Linked DNA regions of Mus musculus: all the other regions are reported to be linked to region 5. The links are microRNA targets in miRTarBase. Many come from high-throughput screens and were not tested one by one. Region 5 holds a microRNA gene; each other region holds the end of a gene's coding sequence.
Evidence for each region. Region 5 holds the annotated microRNA mmu-miR-3085-3p (UCUGGCUGCUAUGGCCCCCUC, at 1,194-1,214, shown strand). A microRNA usually pairs through its seed, bases 2 to 8, with sites in the 3' UTR of a target mRNA and lowers its output. Matches are read on the target gene's strand: a 7mer-m8 pairs with bases 2 to 8, a 7mer-A1 pairs with bases 2 to 7 and ends in A, and an 8mer does both.

Region 1: the mRNA of Igsf6 is a reported target of mmu-miR-3085-3p. Seed matches in the 3' UTR shown: 7mer-m8 at 1,767-1,773.
Region 2: the mRNA of Uvssa is a reported target of mmu-miR-3085-3p. Seed matches in the 3' UTR shown: 7mer-A1 at 573-579 and 7mer-m8 at 760-766.
Region 3: the mRNA of Prss43 is a reported target of mmu-miR-3085-3p. Seed matches in the 3' UTR shown: 7mer-m8 at 899-905.
Region 4: miRTarBase lists Lypla1 as a target of mmu-miR-3085-3p. Seed matches in the 3' UTR shown: 7mer-m8 at 1,333-1,339.
Region 6: the mRNA of Il11 is a reported target of mmu-miR-3085-3p. Seed matches in the 3' UTR shown: 7mer-m8 at 3,230-3,236.
Region 7: miRTarBase lists Mpv17 as a target of mmu-miR-3085-3p. Seed matches in the 3' UTR shown: 7mer-m8 at 2,547-2,553.

Annotation. Positions count from the first base shown.
Region 1 is chr7:121,062,110-121,066,109 of GRCm38, reverse strand. Igsf6 (immunoglobulin superfamily, member 6) reads left to right here. Exons shown (of 6, transcript NM_030691.1): 6 at 593-2,043. The coding sequence ends at 649. The region is part of intron 4 of Mettl9 (methyltransferase like 9); the gene reads right to left. Among named protein-coding and RNA genes, the nearest start is that of Igsf6, 10 kb to the left of the region's middle.
Region 2 is chr5:33,414,652-33,418,713 of GRCm38, forward strand. It overlaps Uvssa (UV stimulated scaffold protein A), which reads left to right. Exons shown (of 14, transcript NM_001081101.2): 14 at 147-4,062. The coding sequence ends at 240. Among named protein-coding and RNA genes, the nearest start is that of Nkx1-1, 17 kb to the right of the region's middle.
Region 3 is chr9:110,830,574-110,834,650 of GRCm38, forward strand. It overlaps Prss43 (protease, serine 43), which reads left to right. Exons shown (of 6, transcript NM_199471.1): 6 at 209-934. The coding sequence ends at 445. Prss45 (protease, serine 45) reads left to right here and starts at 4,015. Exons shown (of 6, transcript NM_153172.1): 1 at 4,015-4,077. The coding sequence starts at 4,061.
Region 4 is chr1:4,844,478-4,848,554 of GRCm38, forward strand. It overlaps Lypla1 (lysophospholipase 1), which reads left to right. Exons shown (of 9, transcript NM_008866.3): 9 at 486-2,258. The coding sequence ends at 539. Among named protein-coding and RNA genes, the nearest start is that of Tcea1, 11 kb to the right of the region's middle.
Region 5 is chr19:42,277,232-42,281,308 of GRCm38, reverse strand. Mir3085 (microRNA 3085) reads left to right here and starts at 1,139; the gene lies at 1,139-1,227. Gm34347 (a long non-coding RNA gene) reads right to left here. Exons shown (of 3, transcript XR_386718.4): 1 at 1,386-4,077.
Region 6 is chr7:4,769,863-4,773,935 of GRCm38, forward strand. Il11 (interleukin 11) reads right to left here. Exons shown (of 5, transcript NM_008350.4): 5 at 2,516-3,875. The coding sequence ends at 3,705. Fam71e2 (family with sequence similarity 71, member E2) reads right to left here and starts at 1,408. Exons shown (of 11, transcript NM_172895.3): 1 at 1,085-1,408; 2 at 713-867; 3 at 379-634. The coding sequence starts at 1,249.
Region 7 is chr5:31,138,452-31,142,528 of GRCm38, forward strand. It overlaps Mpv17 (MpV17 mitochondrial inner membrane protein), which reads right to left. Exons shown (of 8, transcript NM_008622.6): 8 at 2,212-3,399. The coding sequence ends at 3,330. Ucn (urocortin) reads right to left here and starts at 444. Exons shown (of 2, transcript NM_021290.2): 1 at 346-444; 2 at 1-82. The coding sequence starts at 69.

The sequences.
Region 1 (4,000 bases), not on the chromosome of region 5:
AAAATGAGGCCAACCTCATCTAGATGAGGCAACTTGCAAGCTAGCCAGGCTCATGTAGTGAGACAATGACTTTTAAAAAGGAAGAATGGTAACCAGACTTTTACAGTAACTGGAAGGGTCAGGCGTGAGGATCATCACCCCAGCACTTGGGAGGCTAAGGCAGAATTACCAGCTTTAGCCAGCTTGGGCCCTATTTCAGAAACAAACAAAATCAAGATGAGCATGGTACATGTACTTACTGGGTGAAAGCAGAGGGTCTAAAGCTAGATGTGGTCCTGAGCAACCCAGTGAGTTCAAAGGGGGCTACATGATATTCTGTGTCAAAAGACCACACAACACTGAAACAAAGAGTGGGAGTGCATGCAGAGGCTTACACAAAACTGGAAATTCAAACAGAAAAAAAGTGATTACACACACACAAGCACATACATGCTCCAGCACGCATGTGTGTGCACGCACACACATAAAACACACAAAAATGATTCCAAGTATACACAAGACCAAAACTTCACAGTTACAAAGTAGCTCCTATGGAGCTATGGGATGATCCCACTGGTAACATAACCTCACACAGCTTCGTTTACTCTCACAGGAGCAAGAGGGCACTGATGAAAACAGAAAAGCACTCCCCAACCCTGGAAGAGCATAGATGTGCTTGCTTTTTACTTAAGCCACTGACAGTGCAACTCCAGAATCTACGGCAATGTGAATGGACATACAGCAATCAAGACAACATCAAAGAGAGCTGGGGTATAGCTCAGCTGGCAGAGTGCTTGCCTAGTAGGCACAAAGCCCTAGCTTTGATCCCCAGCACCACATAAACTCATCAAAGTGAAACAAGCCTGTATTCCCAACATTGTGAAGTATAAAGAGTCAGAAGTTCAAGGTCATCCCTGAGTATAGGATTAACCTGAAGTCAGAGACACATCATCTTGTCTCAAAAGCAACCGTGACCACCAAAAGAAAAGGACAGGACAAGTGGGAAAACAGCCGGCCTCGCCAGACGGCAGAGCATAAGTAGCTGTCACTAATTGTAGCTACAGAATATGAAAACCTCAAGAAAACTCAACTGGAGGACCTTTTTTCTAATTTTCCAAGAATAGTCTAAAAAGCCCCACTTTGAAGAAAAAACTTCATCTTAACAGTTTTTAAAAACTGTTACCATGTTTATGTTGTCAGTCTACCCAACATACTAGATGTGTGATAGGCATTAACTGAGAGAAGGCTTCAAGTTAAACCACAGATCTCAGTTCTGAGGGGAAATAAATACTTTCCTGAGTTGTAAAAATGATGAAACAATTAGAATCAAGTGAGAAGGGCAAAAGGAGTAAGGAGAAGAGCAATTTCTGAGTAAGAGAAACTCATTGTGAACAGTATCTTGGAACAAAAGTGATTTCTTCTGATACTGTAACGGAGCAGTGGGCAGTGAACATTCTCCAGCTGAGGTATAGGAAACAACTTGGGTTGTACCACCAACAAAACAATACTACAAGAGACCAGAGGACGACTATAAACAGGAAACCCAAAGCCTATCAGAAATGCCTCAGGAATGCAGACAACTGACTCTAGATGTCAGTGTGGTACCAAAGAACTGCAGCCCTAGTGAGCTTGAAAGGAGGGTCGGATACAACAAGGGCCTCACTATCTCACTAAGGTGACCTGAGCCAGGCATGCTGGCACACACCTTTAATCCTAACACTAAGGAGGCAGAGGCAGGTGAATTTCTGAGTTCAAGGCCAGCCTGATCTATAGATCGAGTTCCAGGACAGCCAGGGCTGTTAACAGAAAAACACTGTCTCAGAAAAAAAGGGAGTGGGGGCTTGACATGGATTGTTCTTTGAATATAAGTACCAACAAGGACACACTGCTCACTAACTTGATCACAGGTCTAGTACAGTTGCTTCTAAACAGGTACTAAATATAAATGGCACACACTCTTAAACATCACACACTGTGATACACACATACACACACACACACACACACACACACAGGTTTGAAATTTACATACACAAAAGGAATAAAATAATGGCATACACAGTAGTGTGTTTTGGTCAGATGGTTTGTTGTTTGAATTTTTATTTTATTTTTTATTCATGTGTGTGCATTTTTCTGGGTCTGTGTACAAGTGTCCACAGAAAGTCACAAAAGCCAAAAGAGGACATCAGATTCTCTGAAGCCGGATGACAGGTCGTTGTGATCTGTCCAGTGTGGGTGATGAGAAGGAACAGCGCTCTTAGCCAGAGTCATCTCTCCAGTTCCCCTCCCTCCCTTTCAACACATGTGCTCATGGAGACTATGAACGCACTATCTTTTTGCTCCATACTCCAAAATGAACCTCCTATGAATGAACCCCAAGAGGCAAATCCCCTAACTTTGAAACTACCAGCTTAGGCAAAATAAATGAACTTTTGAACCACATGGCAGAAAGGAGCAAGCACTAACTCCATCTAGGTGAGCAGAGTACTGGGTACCATTTGTTTCTGTTAGTGGCTGTGCTCTGGGATTGTTCCCAGGACACAAGTCTCTAATGTATTGGGATTGAATTTTAATGTGTTTCCCAAAGAGTAAATGTTAAAGATGGATTTTAAAATGAAACTTGGAAGGTATTTTCAGAGGAAGGACCTCTTACCTCTGACATCACATTCAAGAGGACTCAATGCTCACTGAGCACTTGGCAAGGCCTGTCTTTGGCTTACAATGAACCTGCCCTATCCTAACCCCACCAGGTATACATCTTCATGCTTTTACATACATTCTTGTGTAAGCTTGCAAGATACTATAAAGACACAGGTTAAGAGAATGAGCAAGGTCCTGAGTTTAACCCCAGAACTGTAAAAACAAGACAAGTACAACAGCTCAGAGACTGCACACAAAGCCTGCCCTGAGTCCCAAGTAATGATCTTCCCTTCTCTGTCCCCACAGTACTTTGCCTTATCTTTTATTACATTGTACCAACATTGCCTGTAACAGCTACAATCTGTACTAGAACCACAACTAGAAGCTTAGGGCTCACTTATCTGTTTATTTCTAGTGCCTGGCTCTTCCCAACACATAGTAGGCCTTCAAATACCTTTGTATGAATACAACTGAACAATAAATCTATTTTAAAATTTCTTACATTTCAACTGAGATGAGAAATAGCCCCTACACACATACTGAGCCTTCTCCAGACTACTGGCTAAATCCTTTCTTATTCTCTGGGCATCCAGAAAATGTTCCCTACTAAAGAATAAACTGTAACCTCCACTAAGACTGGAATCTTTCAGGCTGCCTGTAGTTTCTCACAACCACTAATGAGGAAATGATGACGAGACACAATTAGGGGGCTGCTGTTGCTATGACAAAGTATTGTAGAAACAGCAGAAATGTCTTTTTCACAGTTCTGGAGGCTGAAGTGGAATCAGAATGCCACAGGGGGATTCTAACTAGGCACCTCCTCCAAACTGCTGAAGGTGGAGTGCAGGCTCTGGAACCTCTAGCAAAGCAGACAGCCCTCATGAACCCATCACCTCCCAAAGGGCCTGCCTCCTAGACCCAGCACAATGGTGGGAGGCATAATACAGAAGAGGCGAATGGACCCAGAAGTCTTCTATCTATGTCCTCTACCTTGATTTGCCTGCCATGACATGCCAATAGGGTTTTCAAAATAATTCATTCCTTTTTCACGTTTGTAAAGAACCTCAAACCTGTGACCAATAGCAATATAGCTGTGCAGTCACACACACCCACAGAGAGTACACTCTGAGACAGTTAAAGGGCAGAATGAAGCCTCTGGATTCTGACCACGTTTGTTACGAGTTTAAGGCAGACTAAAAGACAATCTTGAATACTTCTGTCTGAGAAGCTGTGAACAAGTATAACCAATAGTCACAAATAAAAACAGTGAAAGAATAAGGTAAACTAGAATAAATCTAGCATGAATCAAATAGCAAAATCCATACCCATACAGTTGGCCACTGTTCAATACATGACTTAACCCTCATAACAAACTCCAAGG
Region 2 (4,062 bases), not on the chromosome of region 5:
GTTCCCCTGCTCTGTCTGAGCACTACCTTACAGAAGTTCCACTGGAAACCTTTATGAGGTCCAGAAGCAGCAAGCCAAACTAGGACTCCAGAGTCCTGTCAAGTCTGTCAAGTCCTGTCACTTCTTACTGTGCTCTCTCTCCATAGGGCAGCCGTGCAGAGAGTAGTTGCTGCCATGAACCAGATGGACCAGAAGAAACACGAGAAGTTTGCAAACCAATTTAATTATGCGCTGAAGTAAAAGGGTGTGGGTGTGCTGAATATGCTGTGGTCCCCTTTGGCCGTCAGCTCTTCTCCGTTCGTTAGCTTACTAGGATAGGAAGGAGAATAGACTTAAGTCTGAGTAGAATCAGAGCTTGTTTTTTCTGTATGTAACAATGTAGTGATGCATTAAAATACTCTCCAGGAGGCCAGGGGATATGGTTTAGTGGTGAGGCCAGGGTTTGATTCCCAACCATTTTAACCACACATGTGGTACCTCACCTGTAATCCCAGCACTTGGACATAAACAGGACCTGAATCCTAGGCCAGTATGGATAACAGAGCAAGACTGCTTGAGAAACAAGAACAAAAAGCCAGATGAGGTGACGCACACCTGTAATTTTTACACTTAACAGGCAGGGCAGGAAGATCAATACAAGTTCAAAGCTAACCTAGTTGCCAGGCATGGTAGGCACATCTTTAATCCCAGCACTCAGAAGGCAAGGCAGGTGGATCTCTGAGTTTGAGGCCAGGCTGTTCTACAGAGTGAGTTCCAGGACAGCCAGGGCTACACAGAGAAACCCTGTCTTTAAAACAAACAAACAGCTAAGCTAGTCTAAGTTGTAAATTCTAAGCCAGCCAAACTTACATAAGCAGAGTATGTCTCTGAGGGAAAAAAATATCCCTTCAGGATGACGTACCTGCATTGGAGTTGGATAGGGGCAGGCACTCCATCTGGCCAGCCCTTGGGCAGTAAGTGTGTCCCTAGTGGTGCTATGTACTTTATGATGCCTTCAGCAATCCACCCTTTCATGCATATGCTGTTTAATACACATGTCCAGCTCCTGGCACCACTCTGGACCAGGTGTGTTGAGCCCTAACTCACATACCATGTAGTCACCCAGGTTATGCACAGTGTATAACAAGTGACTCCACTGGCTTCCAGAACTTTAGTGTTCAGACAAACTGCCTGACCACCTCGAAGCCCGCTTTCTCTTTCCATGCCTATGCATTTAGAGTAATTGGGTCTGCGGCTTTTGTTTTTGTTTTGAGATGTGGTCTCTTTATGTAGCTCTGGCAGTCTTAGAGCCCACAGTGTAGACCAGGCTGGTCTCCAACTCAGAGATCCTCCTGCCTCTGCCTCTTCAGTATTGAGATTAAGGGCGTGTACGATGGCTCCTGGCTGAGTATGCCCTTCTGTTCCAGCTTCTTTGCCTTTGAAGTTTCTTCCATGTTGTGATAGCAGTCCTTCAGTCCTGCTTCTTACACACACGGACCTCAGCAGAGGACAAGGGAGGTGGCTCAGCAGGTAAAGCACTTGCATGTAATTATGAGGACTGAGTCCATATAAAAGTCAAGTGGTTATGGTAATCTGCTTGTAATCCTGCCCTTGGTGAGAGGAGACAGGATCTCTGGGGCAAACTCAGTAAGGAGACTAGCCAAAATCAGTGCATTCTGGATTCAGCAAGAGACTCCGCCTCTGTAAATAGAGTGGAGAACAGTGAAGGGAAACACTCAACTACAACCTTTGGCCTATAATATGAAAATTCACATATGCCCATAGACATCTGCCCACACATAGGTAAACACACACACACACAAAATCACAGTGAATGGAGTCATATTTTGTCATTGCCACACCCACCCTCTCATTTGAGACATGGTCTCTCTTTGGAACCCTGACTGTCCGGTAACTCATTTTGTAGATCACGCTGGCCTCCAATTCAGAGATCCTCCTGCTTCTGCCTCCCAAGCCCCGGGACTAAAGGCGCCACCATGGCCTGTCTCCATGGATTTGTTATTGATGTTTGGTCTGTTCCTACCTTAGGGCTACCGTGAATATCTGTGCTTTTTTGTGTGTGGACAACTGTTTCTGTACATCACCGATGCGTATAGTAACCTCCTTGTGAGGGGCTAAGCTGTTGGATGGTGGCTGCACCATTTACACTCACTCTGCTCTGCTTCCTGAGGGCTTCATGCCATCACTGGTGTCTTTGTTTCTTTTGCTTTTCTGAGAATTCTATACAAGAGGACTGTGCTCACATCATTTCCACCTCTCCTGCCTTCTCCAGGTTCTCCCATGCCCTTTTTTCAAATTCATGATCTCTTCTTTGTCATCACATATGAAGACAGTTGCTGTTATCTTTAGCAGTCATTCTCACCGTCATGTTCTGGGAGGCAGCTAAGGGCAACAACATTCACCTATGTCATTTTGATAGTCTCTTAACTCCCTGGCCACAACTTAGGAGATTTCCTGTTCGTATACATGGACTTTTGTTAAATAGTGTCTACTTAAGGATTTTTTTAAAATCACATGATTATCTCAATAGATGCAGAAAACACCTTTGACAAAATCCAATATAATAAAATAATAAAAGTCCTAGAGAGACTAGGAACAGGGAACATGTAAAGGAAACCCATCAAAACAACAGCTGATTCCCAGTGGAAGTTGTAAAAGGCAGAAGAGTCTGGACCAGGGTACTTCAAGGTCTAAAAGACCATGGATACCAACTTACAGTACTGTACCCAGCATAACTTCCTGCCATAGTTGAAGGAAAGAGGAAAATGCTCTGTGGTATAAACACGCCAAAAGAATTCATGCCCACCAAACTGGTCCTAGAGAGGATACCAAAAGCAATTCTTTAGACTGAAGAGAGGAAAAAGGACAAGGAAGACAAGTGAAGCTGTAATTGCTGAAGCACAAAAGAGGATGAATGCAAAGAGCAAACCAGGAGCCAGCACACACCTTAAACCAGAACCAGGAGCCAGCACACACCTTAAACCAGAACCAGGAGCCAGCACACACCTTTAACCAGAACAAGGTTTTAATAATATCCTTAGCTCCCCAGTCAAGAAACACTGGTTTGTTGAATGGATTGAGAACAAAGATTTAAAGATCGGGGCCACCTTAAAGCACAAGGATAGAAAAAAGTATCCCAAGCAAGTGCAAAGAGGAAGGAAGCAGGTGTCACTCACTACCTTTTTTTTTTTTTTTTTTTTTTTTGAGACTGTGTCTTCCTACTCAGTCCTAGCCTGCTATATAAACCAGGTGGGCCTTGAACTCACAAAGATCTGCCTGCTTCTTCCTTCCAAATGGTGGAATTAAGGACAAGGAGTCTTTGTTTTAATCAAGAGAACAATTGACCATGAATACATTACAGTTCTGTATGCACCAAGCTCTAGAACACCCAATTTCATAAGAAACATGCCACTGAACTTAAAGACACAGATTACTCCAGTTCCGTATTAGTGGGTGATTTCTGTACCCCACTTTATCCAGAATACAGGCCATCTGAACAGCAACAACAAAAAAGAATAGAGATATCAGATTTAAGTGATGTCATACAGCAAATGGAGCTAACAAATATGTACAAAATGTTTGACCCAAACACTAAAGAATATACATTCTACACAGCAGGCCAAATACCCAAAATAGATCATATTGGCCAGGAGGTGGTAGTCCATACCTTTAATTCAAGCACTCAGGAGACAGGGGCAAGCAAATCTTGAGTTTGAGATCAGAGTGGTCTACAGAATGGGTTCTAAGATAGCCAAGGATACCCAGAAAAACCCTGTCTCAAAAAATGAAAATAATAAACTAGATCACATAATTTGACACAAAACATATCTTAAGTTCAGAAAATTGAAAAATTTTAATATATTTTATCAAGCCACAATGCAATAAAGCTTCAAATCAATAGCAAACAAATTCCTGGTAATTATATAAATTCATGAAGATTGAACAACACATTACTAAATAGTGAATGGGTCAAAAAAGAATCAAGAAAAAATGTTTTAATCCTGAAGTCAAATACAACTAAAAACAACAAAACCTCTGGATACATAGAATGGCAACCTATGA
Region 3 (4,077 bases), not on the chromosome of region 5:
CCTGTGTGCCTAATCATCACCGAGCACGTATCGTTGCCTAGAGAATGTTGATGTTTTCATAGGAGATTTTCATCTGTTAGATCTCAGTCATTAAAAGAAGCTAGGCCTGGGAGAGGCTCTGGGTGCCCAAGAAAGTGTCCCAGCACCTTGCAATGCAGTCTGCTCTCTCTTCCATCCCAGCCATTGGTTTCTTCCTCTTGTTTTCCAGGGAGATTCTGGGAACCCCCTTGTCTGCGAATCTGACAACACGTGGACCCAGGTGGGGATCATGAGCTGGGGCATCAACTGCAATGGAGTCCCTGTCCTCTCAGTTTACACAGACATCGCTGAGTACAATGAGTGGGTCAGCTATGTCTTAAGTCAGGCTTCCCGTATGGATCCCATGGGAGTCTTGGTCCTATACCTGTCTCTGGTGTTTCCCTTGGCCCTCCTGGTAGCTCTGTGACCTCCTTAGGCCCTGTCTTCCTGAGAGTTTTGAGTCTCCCACTGTGCCTTTTCTCCATTTTCCCTTTCTGTCTTTCTGCCCTTTCTTCAAATTCCAGTTAGCAGCTATTGCCACAGTAGACTGTGGCAGGGAGATTGGGGGCTGCAAAGTGCTCTGACTGGTGTTCTGGTTACTTGCCTCATGATACACCCACACTTGGTGGACTAACCTGGACTAGAGGGCCAGCTTGCCTGCTAGGTGGAGAACCATGACTCCATGATCTTGGGGACATCTGCCAAGAAGAGATAATATCACCTGGCTCTGTTTACATCACACAGCTTAGTGACCACTGAAAGAGAGGGAGAACAACCGGGTGTGGTGGCACACACCTGTAATCCCAGCTCTCGGGAGGCAGAGGCAGGCGGATTTCTGAGTTTGAGGCCAGTCTAAAAATCTAAAAAGTGAGCTCCAGGACAGCCAGGGCTACACAGAGAAACCCTATCTCAAAAAAGAAAAAAAAAAAAAAAAAAGAAAAGAAAAAGAGAGAAAAGAGAGAGAGATGGAGAACGAGAGGGTTGGAGGAAGGGAACACTGGCAACTCCCTACAGAGGTATGAGGTTGGCACTTAAGTATTTGGGAGCTGGCAGAAATTATCTTGTACCCACTTGGGAATCTGCCAGGGAATGCATAGCCTCTGCCTCATAGGCTTCACAAGAAGGCAGTCCTGCCTGGCCCCCTTCCTCAGTACCTCAGTGGTCACATCCAGGGTCATCCCAAGTTGCGTTGAGGTTCTGGAGAGGGGAGATCTCAAACGTAAACTGAATAAATGTTTGGAGAACGTCCTGTGTGTTGTGAAGCTCTGCTCACCTGGGGTGTTTGGCTTAGAGAACTGGACCCCATTTACCTAGGGAAGTACTCGCAGTTCCTCTTAGAGACAGAAGAGCTGAGTCCTGCTCCCTGTGTGCCTGGGCAGGAACTTTTGCTGGGCTTCACTACTTTTACAGCCAGCCAGGAGCAGCTCAGGGGAGGCAGGAACTGGGGTGGGGGTGGGGGCGGGAGGGCCCGCAGGGATGAAACTGATTCATGAGAAAAAGTCTTTCTTCTGGTTATTAATGTGACTTTATTTTCAAAGGCCGTGTTCCCAAAGTCAGGAGGATTTTAAGAAAGATTCACTACACTGTATGCAGCTCTTCTACCTCACACTGGGTTTTGGTATCCCTGACTGAATACTGATTTGCTCACAGGTCTCCTCCAATCTCCCTCTCCCACTTTCGTCTTTCTGGGGTCTCTGTTTCATCCTCTGTCCTCTATGGCTTTTGTGGGCATTCAGTTCCAACCGTTGCCCAAGGAAGGATGAACCCATCCTCCACCCCCAGTTTTGTTTGTTTGTTTGTTTGTTTTTTGAGATGGGATATCATTATGGGGTCCCTGGCTGTCCTGGAATTAGTGCTGGGATTAAAGGTGTGTGCCTCCACACCCTGCTGTCAGACGCATCTCTGTCATGAACACATACATCACCAAAGATGTTTTTAAAAAAATTATCACTGGACATTGACCTGCTGAGGTAGTGTTTGCCTGTATCTCCATCATCTGAAAGATGGAGGCGAGGACAATCAGTTGTTCCTTTGCTACAGATGGAGTTTGAGGCTAACCTGGGATACAGGAAGTGCTGTGTCAAAACAACAACAAAAACCCAAACCACCTCCACTCTCCAGAAACCGCCAGCTCTTCGTAGACTAACAATTTTAATTTTGCTCACTGTAGCGCGTTATTCTATGTGGACAGGTAGCTCTCCCCCATTTTATAGTCCCACTCTTAGCCTCATGGTCCACCCTTCACCTGTGTGAGCATACGCTGAGAGTTTGTTAAAATCCACATTGCTGCCAGGAGTGATGGGACACATTTGTAATCCTAGCACTTGGGAGGCAGGGGTGGGAGGATTAGCACAAGTTCAAAGCCAGCCAAGACTACACAGAAATGGACCTTGTCTTACGGTTTTATTGCTGTGAAGAGACACTATGACCAAGGCAACTCTTACAAAGGAAAACATTTAATTGGGGCTGGCTTACAGCGTCAGAGGTTTAGTCTGTTACCACCAAGGCGGGAAGCATGGCAGTGGGCAGGCAGGCATGGTGCTATAGGAACGGTGAGTTCTACATCTTGATCCACAGGCAGCTGAAAGAGACTCTAGTTGGCAGGCAGCCAGGAGGATGCTCTGATTCCACCCTGGGCGGAGCTTGAGCACAGGAGACCTCAAAGCCCGCCCACACAGTGATGCATTTCCTCCAACAAGGCCACACCTCCTAAGTGCCACTCTCCATGGTCAAACATTGAAACACCTGAATCTATGGGGGTGAGGGGGGAGGCAAATCTATTCAAACCACCATAGACCCTGTCATAAAAAATTAAACAAACAAACAAACAAACAAACAAATCCATATCATTGGTCTCACTAAGGGAGTTTTCAACTTCAACTCTGGAAGTCTTGGCCAGGGCCTGAGGATGAAGATTTCTAGCAAGTTCCCAGGCGTTGCTGGTCCAGCTGTATGGAGGAGGCCTAACGTTGGGAACCACACAGCGGCAGAAGGCAACCTTCTCTTGCTTGCCTCGATATGCGATTGGCACCGTTTACTTATTCAGATTCATTTAAACGCCAGGCTGGGGGCCTGGAGAGTTGGCTCAGGGATTAAGATCTTCTACAGGGCCCACATTTGATTCACACAAACCCACATGGTGGCTTCTAACTCCAACTCTATTGGATCTGATGCCGCCTTCTGGCTTCTGTGGGCATCAGGCACATACTGTGGTGCACAGACAGTCATACAGATAAAATACTCATACACATAAAAATAAAATGTAAACGAACAGGCTGGGTGATGGGGTCCCCAGAGCTCTGTTGGACACCTGGAATAAACAAAGGAAACAGAGGAATTTTGATGATCGCTTCCCAGTCTCTGCTAGGCTCAGTAAATCCACAAAGATCATCCTTTTGTGACAAGCTCTCTTTATGCCCAAAGCCAGGCAACAAAACAAAACAAAAAGAAACAAACAAAACCAACAACAACAACAAAAACTAGCCAGTATTTGTCAGTGGTAACATCCTGTCATATTGCTGGTCCTTGGAAGAGGACAGCTGCCTTCTTTATTCAGCACCCTGCTCCTATCTTGATTTAGTCTTAGATCCAGTTCAGCTATTACGTTCTCAAAACCGTTTTTCCTAACCATATTGTTATTTGCTTTCTTGGGCTTTCCCGGTCCTTGTTAATAGTGACCGTGAAACTCCTTGTGCAACAGGCTGAGAACAAGGTATACCCTGAGGCTGGATGGGCATCAAGATGCCAATCCCAGCCCAGGGATCTTTGACCAGTTAGGCTCCAGATGCACCGCCAGGATCTTAGAGCACTAGGGGTGCTGTCATAGATCTGGAATCTAAGACCCAGTCCCAGTCAAGGGATCTGAAGTCATATTAAGGACGAGAGTGGGTCCAGATGCCAGAACTCAAAGGACCTGAAGAGGCACGGTCAGGCTCTTGGCGCCAGGTCAGTCATGTGTCGAAGACGCCATCGCGTACTGGGATGTGGGCACGTGACAGCACGCCGCAGCTATCTCTGCTGCCCTTAGGGACAATATTCATGTATGGCTACGTCATTGCG
Region 4 (4,077 bases), not on the chromosome of region 5:
GAAAAGTTCTCTGTATAGGTTAGTATCATTCTGAACTTCCTGATTCCCCAGTGTTTTATTTATGCATTTGAAAACACAGACTTTGCACGTGCATGGAACTAGATCATATGGGAGCTTTTGTTTTGGTGTACAATAATAATCCTAAGAAATGTTACACCGGACAGTGGTAGCGCACGCCTTTAATCCCAGCACTTGGGAGGTAGAGGCAGGTGGATTTTTGAGTTCGAGGCCAGTCTGGTCTACAGAGTGAGTTCCAGGACAGCCAGAGCTACACAGAGAAACCCTGTCTCTAAAAACCAAAAAAATAAAATAAAATAAAGAAAAGAAAAGAAATGTTATGAACTTTCTGTTGGCGCCTCATCCTTCTTACATTACCTTTATGTAGTAGTAAAACATCCTCACCTGCATGGATTTTATTAGTGGCATTCTCGGAAATGTACTTTCTGACTTCTGTAGCTGTTTATTAAATCATTTTTTCCAAACAGGAAATGATGGATGTCAAGCACTTCATTGATAAGCTCCTACCTCCAATTGATTGACATCACTAAGAGGCCTTGAGTAGAAGTTCACCAGCATCACAGTAGTAGAGTATAAACCTCTTCCCATGACTGACCATAGAACTTCTAATGTGTGCAGTGTTAAAATGTTTTGCAAATACATACCAATGATACAGACTAAATGATGTTACCCTCATGGGAAATATATGATCCTTTTAAGTGTCTATGCATATATTTGTATTATACAATTCAGAATATACTAAGTATTACAGTAGGTAAGTGAAGCAACTAGATTCTTTGTCTCAAATTCAGCAAAATAAGATAACAAACAGTTTTATTACATCATTTGAAAATTACTAGTATGTTCTGTGAAGATGTGTTCAGGTAAGATGTAAGTGACTTCTTAGTTCTGTGAGTTAGACTATAGTTTTACTCCACAATTGTTCAGTCTCCATGCAGTGTCTGTATTTTTCTGTTTGTATTCACATAGATGATACTATAATAGCTAAGAATCAGATGGTATTACATTATCCCTAATAATGGGGATAATGCTTTTGAGTGTCAAAAAGTAATACTGCATTCTTCAATTAATGGCCCTTCTATTGGGAGACCAGGCTTTTTTTCCCTTCTATGTAATTTTTCTCAAGAAAAAACAAGGTTCTTTTTTGATTTTCCGTAGAAAACTAATATTGCCTCTCTGTCATATATTTTATTTTGACATTTTGAGATACAGACATAGCCGGGCGTGGTGGTGCATGCCTTTAATCCCAGCACTCGGGAGGCAGAGGCAGGCGGATCTCTGTCAATAGCCTGGTCCACAGAGTGAGTTCCAGGACAGCCAGGGCTACACAGAGAAACCCTGTCTCGGAAACAAACAAACAAACAAACCGAAACACAGACATACAGTATTTCCAACCTAGGTAATATGAAAAGAAATCAAACATTACTTAAGTTTATATATTTCAAATAACTGCACCTTAGTCCAACTTTAGACTGTAGAGTTATAGACTCTCCAGTCCTGGTAATAAATCTGTGGTTTTATTTTTCTGTAAAACACTTAAAGGGGAAGTAATATCTTGGCATATTTAGAAATACTTGTGACTGGCTTCAAAATATAATTTCTTAAATATCTTATAGCCGATTTTAAGTTTACATTTTCTGTACATGTTATGCTTAAAACCAAATACTGTTCAAGATGAGCAATCAGACTTATGTTTTATTTTTATCTGGGTAACATATTATTTTGAAATTTTCATCTTAAGTAAAGGAGCTTTTGATAATCAGTCTCCTGTACAAATATTAAAATAATAATTTGATTTTAAATCATCAGCATGTTCAAAATACTGGTGAAAATTATTTAATATAAGGACTGGTTAGAACATTATATATATATCCCATATTTATAACTGTTACCACACAGTTGAATATGTTGCAAAAATTATGGTTATTTCTGAACGGTTGCTTTTCTTGCTGTTTTCCAACCAACCAAGAAGCACCTTTATAAACAGGTGCTAATTGATATGAAGATCATTTTGGTATGTCCTAGATAGAATGAAGCCAAATGTCTGGATTTAAAACAATTTCAAACAATCATTTACTATTTTGCTTTACTTTAAAGAACATAAATTTACTTCAGTTATTCTATCTGTAAAGATTTATTTGGTATAAGAAATATTCCATTGACTGTGTGCTGTAATGTGGGAAAATGTCATGTTTTTCACAGTTTCTATCAATGTGAAATAAAATTTAATTTTGGCTTTATCGATTGCTTTATATAGTACTGTTTCTTTTTTCTTTTCTTTTTTATAGATAGGATCTGTACTGGCTAGTTTTGTGTCAACTTGATACACCTGGGGTTATCACAGAGAAAGGAGCTTCAGTTGAGGAAATGCCTCCATGAGATCCAGCTGTAAGGCATTTTCTCAATTAGTGATCAAGGGGGAAAGGCCCCTTGTGGGTGGGACCATATCTGGGCTGGTAATCTTGGTTCTATAAGAGAGCAGGCTGAGCAAGCCAGGGGAAGCAAGCCAGTAAAGAACATCCCTCCATGGCCTCTGCATTAGCTCCTGCTCCCTGACCTGCTTGAGTTCCAGTCCTGACTTCCTTGGTGATAAACAGCAGTGTGGAAGTGTAAGCTTAATAAACCCTTTCCTCCCCAACTTGCTTCCTGGTCATGATGCTTGTGCAGGAATAGAAACCCTGATTAAGACAGGATCTTACTGCATGCCCCTGCTGGCCTGGAACTTGCCTAAGTTACCTCTTCTAAGTTGCCTTGGGCATGGTGATGTATCACAGCAACAGAGAAGTAACTAATCATGCTGGCCCACAACTCACAGGCTTGCCTGCCTTTGTCTCCCAAGTGCTGATATTATAGATGGGTGTTTCCATGGCCTGATGTTTTTCCAAGTTTTGTTTTTTTTTTGTTTTGTTTTGTTTTTTTTTGAGGCAAAGTCTTCCTTATAGCTAGCCCAATCTTGCCTTGAAAGCCTCAATCCTCCTGCCTCTTCCTCCCTAGTCCTGAAATAATAGTTGTATACCAGCACAGCCAGTGTCAAGTCGTAACATTTGGGCTTACTTTGGAATGATCTTCTATATTGAAAGAAGGATATAATAATACAATCATGAGAAAATGCATTGGGAGAGAAAATTTGGTGTGATATGATTACCTTGGAATGGAACTAGCCATGAGAAGAAAAAAGTATTTTAACTTAATTTTAATCTGCTAAAAAATTCATAACCTATTTAAAAATTCTTAAACTATTGAGAAACTTTATTGGGTGTTTTCATCTTTAATGTAGTTATCACTAGGAATTTTAAATAACTACCATATGTCAGTTATCCAAATATTTTTTCTCTTACATATTTTATTAAGTTCTAACTTTTACCACTACAGGGGTTTATTCTTTTGTGTCAAAAAGTGTTTCTGGCCGGGCATGGTGGCGCACGCCTTTAATCCCAGCACTCGGGAGGCAGGGGAAGGCGGATTTCTGACTTTGAGGCCAGCCTGGTCTACATAGTGAGTTCCAGGACAGCCAGGGCTACACAGAGAAACCCTGCCTCGAAAAACCAAAAAAAAAAAAAAAAATGTGTTTCTGTTTCTGGTTTTAAATACTTGAAGTTGACAGCTTACCCTTTTGTGATTCTGCCTGTCTGGTTTTGATATAGGTAGGAGACTTTGTGATGGTTTGAAGAAGAACTGTCCCCCAGAGGTTCCATCCCTAGTTGCTGGTGCTATCTGAAGGTTACATCGAGGGGCAGGCTAGCCGCAAGAAGTACATCACTGTGGTCAGGCCATGAGAGTTCACAGCCTTGCTCCACTCCCAGTTTGCTTTCACTGCTTCAAGCTGTGGTTGAGTTGTGACCTCTCAGCTTCCAGCCACCAAGCCCACTGATTGCTTCAATGCCTTCTCAGCAAGATGTGACTCTGTTTGTTTGTTTGTTTGTTTGTTTGTTTGTTTGTTTGAGACAGGGTCTCTCTACATAGCTTGCCTGACCAGGCTAGCCTCAAACTCACAAAGATTAGCCTGCCTCTGCCTCCCAAGTGCTAGGATTACAGATGTGTGCCACTATGCTTCAATAG
Region 5 (4,077 bases):
TTAAGGACCTCGTGGGTTTCTCATGAAGAAGGTAACCAGCTCCCCTCAGTGAGAAGGTTAAGTCTCCTACACCCAAGAAGCTTATATTGGAGGAAAAAAATACCAGGTTAAACTTTATGGAAGATGGGCAGACTCTGAACCAACCCAACATCACCTGCCCGCCACTCACCAGGCATCCAGATATTGGAGCTGGGTGCCCCTGGCTCCAGACCTTCATTTCACTTCCTGAGCGTTATCAGCCACGGGTGAGTGGGTGCAAGCTTCAGCAAGGCTTAGGAGGCCACTGTCCCCATCCCCTTAACTCCTCCACTTCCTCATCCTGAGGCTCATGGCCTCTGAGCCCTCGTTGTCCACTTTGGAGCACACACACCCATCTTTCTTCTGTCCCATAGACCCACTTAGGTCCCTGACATCTTTTTTTTAGGTTATGCTCCAAGTTGTAAAAAGTAAAAAAAAAAAAAAAAAATGGAAAAGCCACCTTCAGGGCAGGTGAATAACACATGATCAACTCTAGCCAAGGCAGAAGTGGGATCCTTCCCATCCTTCGTTCCATTTTTCAAGAATACCCCCTCAAAACGATCTTTAACAATTTTAATAGTAATAATAACTACAACAATAATATCGCTTTTACTCTGTCTGATGCAGTCTCCTCCAGGAATGTTCCCCCTCAGAATGACAATAATGGCTTTCAGTGAGTGAGCTCAGCGTGTCTAGGTTGGACATAAACTCTTTACAAGAACCAACTCGCTTAATCCCTGCAGCAATCCCTAGAGGAAGAGGCTATAATTATAGGGGTGGGTTAAGTGGTTCCTCGGGATCACACAGCTGGGATAAGCAAAGGTGGGGTGGCGTCCCAGACAGTCTGGCTGTCTCCCACTAGCATGCTTACCTGCCCTGCCGTGCCTACCCACTTCATTCAGGTAGCCAACTGGTTTGGGCAGAAGCCACAGTCTCTCATCCTTCTCCAAGTCAAGGGCTAAGTGGGAAGGGAGAAACAGAGTTCCCAGAGAGCTGAGAATTGAAGCAATCCTACCAGAGTCACACCAAAGCCTGCAGGAAGAGCAGGCCACACCCACATGGAGAGCGCCCTCACCAGGCCAGCCTGGTCACTTTCTCCAGGTCACCTCCATCACCAACAGTCCCAACTCTGGGAAGGTGCCATTCCGAGGGCCAAGAGTCTGAATATGAGTCACTCTGGCTGCTATGGCCCCCTCCCAGGGCTTGGGCATCACATCCCTACCAAGAAGGCTGGACCAAGCAAGAACTCCAACACAGCCTCTGTTAGAGGAACATGGAGACAGAGAACATTTCATCATTTCATCATCTCAGGGTTCCAGAGATTCCAGACTCCAACTTCAGGAGGACAGTCAAATCCCTCCCCTTACCTCTCTGCCCATGGTCACCGCTGTCTCATTCCTTTTGTAAGCTCAGTAGCCAAGCCACAGGGAGTCAGAAACCTGCCAAGGGCTGAGGTTGTGTTTCCTTGGCAACAGGAACATCCTGGAAGGAGGAAGAAGGAGGCAGGCAGCTAGGGCTAGTTAACAGGACAGATAATCCCACTGTCCTCTGCCCTCAGCAGCTCTGCCCTCTTACACAGCACTGTGGAACAGTGGTTCAGTCAGAGGGTAGACCATCAGAGGAGAAATGAGAAGCAAGAAGACACAAGAGCATCCTCGGGGAGAAGTTAACATTTACGGAATGCCCACTATATGCCAAAAACTGCATAGATGTCTGCATTAATCCTTACTCCATCCTGAAAGGCAAATGTTACTGGTCTACTCTATTACCAAGGAAACTGAGGCTTGGGAAGAACAAGCTACACAGGGTCAGAGTTCACTGAAGTGGCTGACGATGTAATTTAGACCCCAAACTGTCTACTCTGCAGCTTGGGTTCCTAAGCTGTGTGCTTTCAGTTTCCAGGTAATTTGCACCTGAGGGAGTTATGTAACCAACTGGTCACTGATAATCAAATACAGACCACTATGTGCTGCACATTATTCTAGTGGCTTTGGATATTTATCGGTGAACAACACTGGCAACATCTCTTCCATGTTGACATTTGGCAAGGCATGCTCGTATAAACATGACGGTAAAAGTCTTGTGTGTTAGAAAATCCTGAGTGGGGGAAGAGGGGAGACATTAAGGGAGTTTGTGAGCACCTGGGTAGAGGCAAACTGTTACTTTAGGTAGGGTGGGCCAGAGTGCTCAGCCCCTAGAGGAAAAAAAAAAGATATTTAAGATTTAAAGTATTTAAGATTTAAAGTAGGTAAAATATACTTGAATCTCAGTTTCTCGTCTCTAAAATGAGTATGAAGCTTACATTTATTAAACTTGAGTTTTAGCAGTAACGGATACCTCACAGTTATTGTATTAAACTTGCCACAGTGTCTGGCATGGAGTGCACCTCCTATAAATCAGAGATCTCATTATTAATAAATACCACAATTGATGATGGAGCCAGGTTCTATTTGATGTCAAAGCTCCCATGCTCCTCAACAGTTGTGCCTGGAACAACCAGAGGTGTGCACTGTCTGCCCTGGGATGCTGCAGGTAAGTGAGAAAGAGACAGCAGGACCACAAATAGCCATCAAGGGGCAGAGGCCAGCTCCCTGGCCCTGGCATATGCCAGGTTCAACATAGTGCTCACGGGGCATCATTGCCAAAGATATAAATAAAGTAAATAGAGCTGGGTAGGCATGAGGTCGGCTGGGCCGCACAGAGCAGAGGCTGCTGGAAGCCACGGCACTTTTCTAGACAGTCTCCATCAGCACTAACAGACTCCCCAAGCAGCTAGTGCCAAGGCACCTGAGAGGTCTTCTAGTTCTGCCGCATGCTTTGCAGACAGGGAGACTGAGAACCATAGATTCTGCGACCCCGTGGGTCCTCCTCGGGGTCACACTGCCCCTGGCTCTTTTGAAGACCTCAGGCCAGGGTACGACTCCCCACTTCCTTCCCCAGAAAGCTCCACTGTTTCAGAAGCATGCGACCACGGTTTTAAGACTAAGTGGGTGGAACTGATTCCTCCCACCAAGTGACAAAAAGAACCACACGCTTGATCCTGGAAGCACTCCAAGACAGAGGCACCCTCTCTAGGAGACCCCTGGGCAGCTGGGAGTAAGGAGGCAGGTCAGGAGCTAGCAAGGAGGGGAGCAAGGAGAATCTGCCACCATTCCTAGGGAGCTCTGCTCAGAGCCCATCCATGCCACCACACCAGTTTGTGAGGAAGAAGAAAATCCAACTGAGGCCTCTCATTATCATAAAGGTAGCTCCTCTCGCATGGCCAGTCCCAGAGCAGCAACAAAAACTCCTACCCTCCGAGTGGCTGGATGCCCCTCCAAGCTAAGGGCTGACTTCCTTCCCTCTGTGGAAGGAGAAACACACCCCAGCTCCCGACTGCTCCTGAATGGCAGGAGAACAGGTAGAAACCAGACAGAGGAAGGCAAACCAGATGTACCCATCTCTGCTGTTCCAGGAAGATGCAGAGAAGAGAAAGGGGGAAAATTTGGGGTTGGCTCTGGGACACTGTCATTAGAATAGTCACAGTAGCTCAGTCCAAACAAAAGGTTTCCCATGCACCAAATGCCACAGCACTTCTTAGAGGTCTAGAACTAGGTCCCTGTGGCCTTCCTTCTATCCATCTACACTTGAATTTTTCTCTTCACTAAGAGACTATAAAATCAAAGGCTGAGATTTCCTGCCAGACAATCCACCTCCACACTCGGAAGTAAGGTACAGTGTCTCCCCCTCTGAGCCTCAGGTTCTTATCCGCAGAGTGGGGTAGTAACAGCCTTGAGCAACGGCAGCGAGGCTCCCTCCAGGAAAGGGCTCTGCGCAACACCTAGCTGATGAAATGCGGTATTATTATTATGAAATCTGTTCCAAGGCCTTCAACTCCTGGCTGCACTTCTTGTGGTGCCAGACTTTACAACAATCCATAAGTCATTAACCAGGCAATATTAGACCTAGAAGACTTCTTCCCAGCAAGACACATCCATCACTCAGTTACAAATGCTGAACTCATTTGGGGATGGGATAAACAGAGTCTCTGCTTTGAAGAGTCCAGGCCTGTGTTGTGAA
Region 6 (4,073 bases), not on the chromosome of region 5:
AGAACTCAAGAGATCTACCTGCCTCTGCCTCCCAAGGGCTGGGATTAAAGATGTGTGCCACCACTCTTGGCAACGCTCAGCATTTTTATGAGGGTTCTGAGGGTTTGAACTCAGATTCTCATAGTTCCTAGGCAATAATATCTTTACCAACTGAACTGTTTTCTCCACCCCATGATTGTCTCACCTGCCCAGCCTGCACCTTCCTCCCCATCTTTTCTTCCTTGGTCCCATGAGGTCAGACTCTCCTTTTAAATACAGCATTCTAGGATCCCAGCTCCTTTCCAATGGGATGGGAGCGGCTAGCCTGTGGGCTGTGGGTCCCCTGTTCTCTGTGGAATCTGGACGGTGGTTTCCAGGCCTTGTTCATTGAATCCTCACCTGAAAGTGCCAAGTGGAGGCAAGAGTGACTTCTGGGGGTATTTCCAGCACGGAGGGTTCTGTTTTTGGTGTCTTGGATAATTTAGGCCCTCGAAGCATGTTGATGAGGCGAATCCAGCGGTCAAACAGAAAGGCCAGCTCATGTTCAGGGGCATCCAGTGCCAGGAAATAATGACGGCCGGATCTCAGACGCAGTTTCAGTCGCCAGGTGGGCAGATCATCGACATACAGGCGGGCAAGGTCTAGTGGGATCATCCTGCGGGAGGTGGGAGACAAGGTAGCTAGTGCGATAGGATGGAGTGGAGTGAGCTAGGATGGGGCTCAAGGAACATACCTGGTTAGGATGAGACTGGAGCACTCCTCGTCCTCGGGGGGCCGAGCAATCAACAGAATGTCAGGCAGCATTAGGCCAGGCAAGGATGCTGCGACACCCATAGTCAGCTTGTTGGATTTGTTGTGTAATAACGCAGGAGTCCCATTGTTGGTTACCTGGGGCAGCCAGGGAGCAGGGCTGGGACCAGTTCTTTCTCCAACATTCCTCCAGCATCCCTCACCTGAGAGCCTCCTTTCTTTCCAAACCCATCTTCTACCTACAGGAGTTCAAATTCCAAATCCCTGTTCAACCCACTCTGCCCAGGGGTTCCCTCTCTCTTCCTGTGTCTCAGACTTCCTCCCCCATTTCCAGGGGGCTCAGGGAGCTGGGGACCTGGGTAAAGTTACTCTCGAACATGGGCAGCGGGCGGAGGGGCAGGTATTCGGCCATCTGAAGGGTCTTCTGCATCTCTCCAAGGATGGGAACCCACTTCGGAGGCTCCGGGGGAGGCGGAGGGAAAAAAAAGCGCCACAGCCGCCTCATAACAGCGGGTGCCATAACAGCGGGTGAGGGTGTATAGATTCAAGAATCCTGGACCCAAGTGGAGCCCTGACCCCCACCCCAGCCCACCAGCTTTGGACCCTTGGGCTTCAAGGATGTCAGGCGCTCAGCAGTGACAGAAAGTGGAGTGTCCCCAGGGCCGAGAGACTCTGGTATGGCCATGGCCCTGCAGAGAGGTAGTCAGCACTAGGCCGTGGGTGGAACCTTTGAGAGGGGCTTTGTGACCTCACTAGACCCTAGAGGCTGCTTCCTGGGAACTGCCTAGGGGCCTCACCATTCCAGAATAAGGTGTGGACTCTTTTGAGGGCTGGGATAGGTGACTCAGACCTCTATCAGAACATCTCCATCTCCTGGACCCAAGATTGTGATGACACAGCCCTCCCCCCCCCCCGCTCCCCCCTCCCCGCCCCCCCCAGGGATCTGTGTTAGAACCTCCATAGGGATCATTAACCCAAAGGCTTGAATCACAGGCCTAGTTCTGCCTGTGACCCTCCTCTTTACTCTCAGGAAGACCCAACCCCACATTGAGCCTCAGTTTCCTAATGGCTCGTGTGTGTGTGTGTGTGTGTGTGTGTGTGTGTGTGTGTCCCCACAACTCTCGAATCAACTAAACACTGAACTGTAAAGAAAGGACGACCATAGCTGGGCATGGCCATCACAGCTGTTATCCCAGCACTAGGGATGGGAGGCTGGAAAATCGTGTTTGAAACCATCTTAGGCTATGTAACAATACCTTGTCTCAAAATAATAAATAGAAAAATAAAGCAAAGGGCTTGGAGATGCGGTTGAGTGTTAAAGTGCTTGCTTGGCATGCACAAGGCCCTGGGTTCAGTCCTAGTACCATAATGATATAAGGCCAACTACCTGTATGAGCATAAGAGCAATAAGCTGGGCATGGTGGCACACAGTTTTAATTCCAGCACTCTGGAAGAAGCAGGCAGATCTCTGTGAGGTAAGACTCAAAACCAAGGCAAAATACCCTACAGAAAACAATTCCTCCCCTTGAGCCTCAGTTTCCCTCTCTTTTGTAAAGCAGGGCAACTTTTTCTGAATCTAAGACAACTTCTTAAGGAGATATATGTATATGTGTATATATATATGTGTGTGTGTGTGTGTGTGTGTGTGTGTGTGTGTGTGTGTGTGTATGCTCAGTATGACCCAGGACATGGGCTCAAATAACCATTTTTCTTGGTCCCTTCTGAGTCCTATTTTGAGGTTATACAGCATGTACAGTGGGGTGAGACAGAGACTGGTACAGTGCCATTCTAAAAATAGTGTTTATTAATGTTTATAAATGTGTCCTGCAAAATACAGTCATGGTGAAAACTCTGGAAAATGCAAACACAAACAGTAACAGTCACCCACTGTGCCATTGCTTGTTTTCAGCCCTGAGGCAGCTATCGTCAACATCATGGTGTTTCCATTTTGAAAAACCAAACAGTCCATACTCATGTATAGGGAGAGTAGTTCTACCATCTGCTGCTCCTGGGTCGCAGAGACGTTCAATATCTAAAGCAGTCTTCGCCTGGAACTTGCCTTTTTATGGTTGGCGAGCTAGAACTTCATCATGCGGATGTATCCCTAGCTTTATTCATCCATCCCCTGCCCGCCCCCCAGAAAGCCTAGATTGTTTCCCATTGGTCATCGTGAATTTTGCTGAAACAAAAAACCTTGTACCTTACAGCTCTGTACCATACAGGTGCTATTAGTTATAAGGTGATGCTCTGGAACTTTTTGTTAAGTATCTGTTGAGGACCTTTGAAATGCTAGGGTACCAGTTTAGACTCCGATCCTTTCGGCATACTCCTGCTAATAACCTCTAAATAGATATGTATTTAAATCCTCTCACTTCTCTGACTCACAAAAAAAAACTCACATTTTGGTATAAAACCCCAGGCTTCCTTTTTCCCCCTCCTTCCTCCTCTTTTTTTTTTTTTTTTTTTTTGGTTTTTCGAGACAGGGTTTCTCTGTGTAGCCCTGGCTGTCCTGGAACTCACGAACTCACTCTTAGACCAGGCTGGCCTCGAACTCAGAAATCTGCCTGCCTCTGCCTCCCGAGTGCTGGGATTAAAGGCATGCGCCACCACGCCCGGCTTCCCTCCTTCCTCCTCTTAATATAAAAAGTAATCGTTTAATAAATAATGTAGGAAGTGAGGAAGACACTGTGAACAGATTTCATAGAGACCCCAGAACCCAGGATCTCAGTTCCCTGCTCTTCAGGGTCTCAGATGCACCCACCCACCCCCCAATTGTTTAAATAAATAAGTATAAATAAGCCACAGGTGATCCCCCTCACCCAGGTCTACTGGAAAGACTGTCTAGCTGGGTGTGGGGCGGTTGTTTGGGGTGTGGCATGCCCCTGATCATCATGCCCCCCTCCAAGTACCAAAATAAATAAATAAATAAGATCTGGTTTTAAAGGGCGGTATCGATGGTGGTTTTCAGTCCCGAGTCACAGTCGAGTCTTTAACAACAGCAGGCCCCGCACGGCCCAGTCCAAGGTCAGGTGCAGCCCTCCTAGGATGGCATGAGCTGCCCGGATGCTTCCCCAGGCTGAGGCAGGAGGGCCCAGGGGGATCACAGGTTGGTCTGGGGCTGCCTGGGGCAAGGCCAGGCGAGACATCTGTTGAAGAGAGAAAGAAGGTTAGCTAAAGGCAAGGGTCTGGGGTTTAGAAAACTGAAGCCGTATTGGGTGTTCTCGCCTGTAATCCCAGCACGGAAGGATCAGGATTCAAGGATACATAGGAAAGGCAGTTTGGGGGGCTGGAGAGATGGCTCAGTGGTTAAGAGCACTGACTGCTCTTTCAGAGGTCCTGAGTTC
Region 7 (4,077 bases), not on the chromosome of region 5:
GCTCTCCGGGCGAAGCTGTGCCAAGAGCAGCAACGCCACCAGGAGCGTAGCGCGTCCCCTCTGTATCATGGTGCCGCCTGCCCTGGACACACAGGGGCAGCATAGGGTGAGGTGCACTTGGAGCAGCCGCAGGTAACACGAGCCCCTTGGCGCGCACGCCCAGTGCCCCTGCCGAGACCCTCCAGCTGTTGCCTGGTGTCCACATCCTGCCCACCAGCCCTAGGCGCTGTGCCAGTCCAGTTCCACCCCTCTCTCCCTCCTTCCCTCCCGGCAGGTCACAGTGGGTGGGCTGAGTGCAGAGTCTTGGTGGTAAGGGAGTCTGGATCGTTGCTTCAAGCCACTCACAGGTTATCGGAGTGTCTGCCCAGTGCAAGATGGAGCTCCACTCTGTCCCCGGGGACGGGCTGAAGACGCCTTGGGGAGCACGGGGTCTGTCCCGGGACCGCCGCCAGCCTTATATAGCACCAGGACAGCTCCGACTGACGTCAGCGAAGAACATGAACTGATTGTAGAAACAATGACACCGGCAGCTTTGAGTCCAGCAGCTTCGAGCCCCCAGAGGGGTGCGTATCCTGACTTTGTGTCCCTGGAGCTATCTTTGGAAGCACCCTGGCTGTAGAGGGAGAAGCTGGCAGAGCCATAAAGATAGATCTTCCGGATGCAGAGTCCTTCCCCGACACAGAACCACCAATGTCTCCAGAGCAGGAATAGTCAGGGGTTGTTTCTCTTCTCAAGTAGAGAGGGAGGACTGTGGAGCTGTCCGTGGTTCCGAACTTCTTCACAGCCACAATCTGGACAGAAGTTCTGGGGAGAAGCCTGGGCTGCTTAGACACGGTCCCTAGGCCGGCTACTGGGTCCTCAAATTGAGATCAGAAATGCTCTGCTGGCAGGGGCTCAGACAACACAGTCCCACCCAAAGGCTCTCCAATACAGTGGGTCTGACCCATTCTACTGACCATTGTACAGCAGTACAAACTAAAATCTACAGGTGTCAGAATGGCATAAAAGGGTGTTTGGCTTTCAGAACTTAACGTACCTCCTGAGTTTGGCAAAGTCAGCTTTTTCCTAGGAAACACAGAAACAGTACTATTATACCTTTTTACCTTCTAGGTCAGGAGCTGGGGTGGTGCTGGTGCACTCCTTTAATCATAGCACCCAGGAGACAGAGGCAGGCAGATCTCTGAGTTTGAGGCCAGACTGGTCTACTGAGCTGGTTCCAAGACTACACAAAGAAACCCAGTTTTGAACACACACACACACACACACACACACACACACACACACACACACACACACAAACACACACACGAAAACGAAGAAATCACTAGGTAGAAGTGAGAAAACTTTGGCCCAAGTTCCTCCTCTGCCACCAGCTTGTGTAGTCAGGTCCCTCACTTCTGAAACCATTGGCGTCTGTCTTTGTAAATGAACAGCCTCTGCTTCTTTCCAGTTACAGACAGGTCTGTGCTCTTCTGAAGGGTCTTATTCATAGCCACTGCAGATCCCAGATAATAATGTATCTATTTCTGTGCCTATAAAGTCCCTGACAGGGTCTCGAAAGGCACTAGGACCTAGAAAAGTTAAGCGTGATAGCCACTCTAGTCTAGGGATGTTGCTTAGTTGTTAGAGCACGTGACTAGCATCCACAATGCTGAGTTCAAGTCTCAACTCTAGACAGGAAGTTGTATCTATACAGAGTGGGGACGTGTGCTAGCTATTGGGACATAGGTGTAAAGTTGGCAAGGTCATATTATTCTACAAATATCTGTGAGGAATATACTATGTGGTGGGAATGTAGACAGTCATGCTGCATAGCAACCTTTTAGTCAGTGATGGCAACACACAATGGTGGCTTCAGATAATCATAGCGGAGCTGAAATATCCCTACCACATAGCAGCATTAGTTCTTATGTCTCAGTTTGGTGCATTATTCATGAATCTGCAATAATGCTGGTGGAAACAGACCAAGCTGGCAGTAATATGGAAGTATATCTTGTGCAATTATGTACAGCGTATACATCTTAATGACAGTGTTCTACATATGAAAAAGCTCTCTGTAAAACAGTATACCATGTCAGACTGGCAGCAGAAAAATACACCACATGCTTGTGCACGAAGAGGCCATGTTGAGCAACTGATTGTTACCATCTGCATAAGTATACTCCTTATGTGTGCACAGTGACAAAACTGCTAAAGACACAATTCTTGTTTGATTTTAAAAAAAGATTTATTTATTTAATGTATATGAGTACACTGTAGCTGTCTTCAGACACACCAGAAGAGGGCATCAGACCCCATTACAGATGGTTGTGAGCCACCATGTGATTGCTGGGACTTGAACTCAGGACCTCTGGAAGAGCAGTCAGTGCTCTTAATCACTGAGCGATATCTGTAGCCCAAGACACAATTCTCTAATCCAGCATTTGAGAAGCTGAGAAGCTGAGGCAGGATTGTCACTAGGTTGAGACTGACACAGACTTTCATTTTTTTTTTTTTGGTTTTGTTTTTTTGTTTTTTTTCCTGACACAGGGTTTCTCTGTATAGCCCTGGCTGTCCTGGAACTCACTCTGTAGACTAGGCTGACCTTGAACTCAGAAATCTGCCTGCCTCTGCCTCCCAAGTGCTGGGATTGAAGGCATGTACCACCATGCCTGGCTTCCAGGACACAATTCTATATTAATTAATTAATTATTAATTAATTAATTAAATATGAGTACACTGTAGCTGTCTTCAGACACTCCAGAAGAGGGCGTCAGATCTCTTTACAGATGGTTGTGAGCCACCATGTGGTTGCTGGGATTTGAACTCAGGAGCTTCTGAAGAGCAGTCAGTGCTCTTACAGGCTGAGCCATCTCTCCAGCCCCCAGGACACAATTCTTATAGTGTGTCCCCATCAGCTAAGGGCCAGAGTGACAGCAATATTATAAATGTCTTAGTGGTTAAAGTGAAATGTGCCACTTCAGAGTGGTCACCCTATTCTGATCAGCAACCCCATAGCATGGAAGCTGACACACTCCTTCCTTTTAAAGATTTCATTGTGTGCTTAATTACAAATGCGTGTCTATTCGTGGGTATATACATGTTTGTGCAGGTGCTTCAGAGGCCAGAAGAGAACATCAGATCTCCTGGAGCTTGAGACATAGGGAGTTGTGAGCCACCCGATGTGGGTGCTTGGAACCAAATTTAGGTCCTCTGTAGAGCAGATAATCCGTGCTTCTAACAGCTGAGTCACCGCTCCAGTCCTGATGTGGTTAGTTTGAAGAAGCTGTCCAAGCATTCCAGGGTCACGGTGCATCAGTACAAGGTGCAAACCATGGAACAAGGCACGCTTAGAACTGATGTGCCTTCCAGGATAGGTAGGAGTTCCAGACAATAGCAACACACTGGACAACAGCCAACCTAAGGGACAAGAATGCTACTGTGAAGAAGAGAAGGAGCAGGGTAGGGAGAGCAATGGAAAGGACTTACGCAGGAAGTTCCAGGTTTGGGCTGTGTTCCTCTGAGCCCCATGAGTAGGGACTGCAGCTTCAGACCAGGAGACAACCAGTTCAGTCCTGCTCTATCTCAGAGCTCCGCCTGTCAGATGAAGGCCTCACAGCTCACTCCTTTTCCTTATTAATTTTGTCTATGTGTGTATGTATGCACATGAAAGTCAGAGGACGACTCTGGGGAGCCGGATCTCTCCTTCTACCATGTGGGTTCCAAGGCATGGGCTCAGGGCATCAGGTCTGGCAGCAAGGGCTCTCACCCACTGAGTCATATCACCCATCCAGCAGCTCTCTTTCAATAAATGACTCGTCTACCTAGACCTTTCCAAATATATCTGTATACCTTATATCAGCCAAGATTTCACTTCTTTTTATTTTATTTTTTTTTTAAAGATTTATTTATTTATTTATTATATGTAAGTACACTGTAGCTGTCTTCAGACGCACCAGAAGAGGGCATCAGATCTTGTTATGGATGGTTGTGAGCCACCATGTGGTTGCTGGGATTTGAACTCCGGACCTTTGGAAGAGCAGTCGGGTGCTCTTACCCACTGAGCCATCTCACCAGCCCAAGATTTCACTTCTAAAA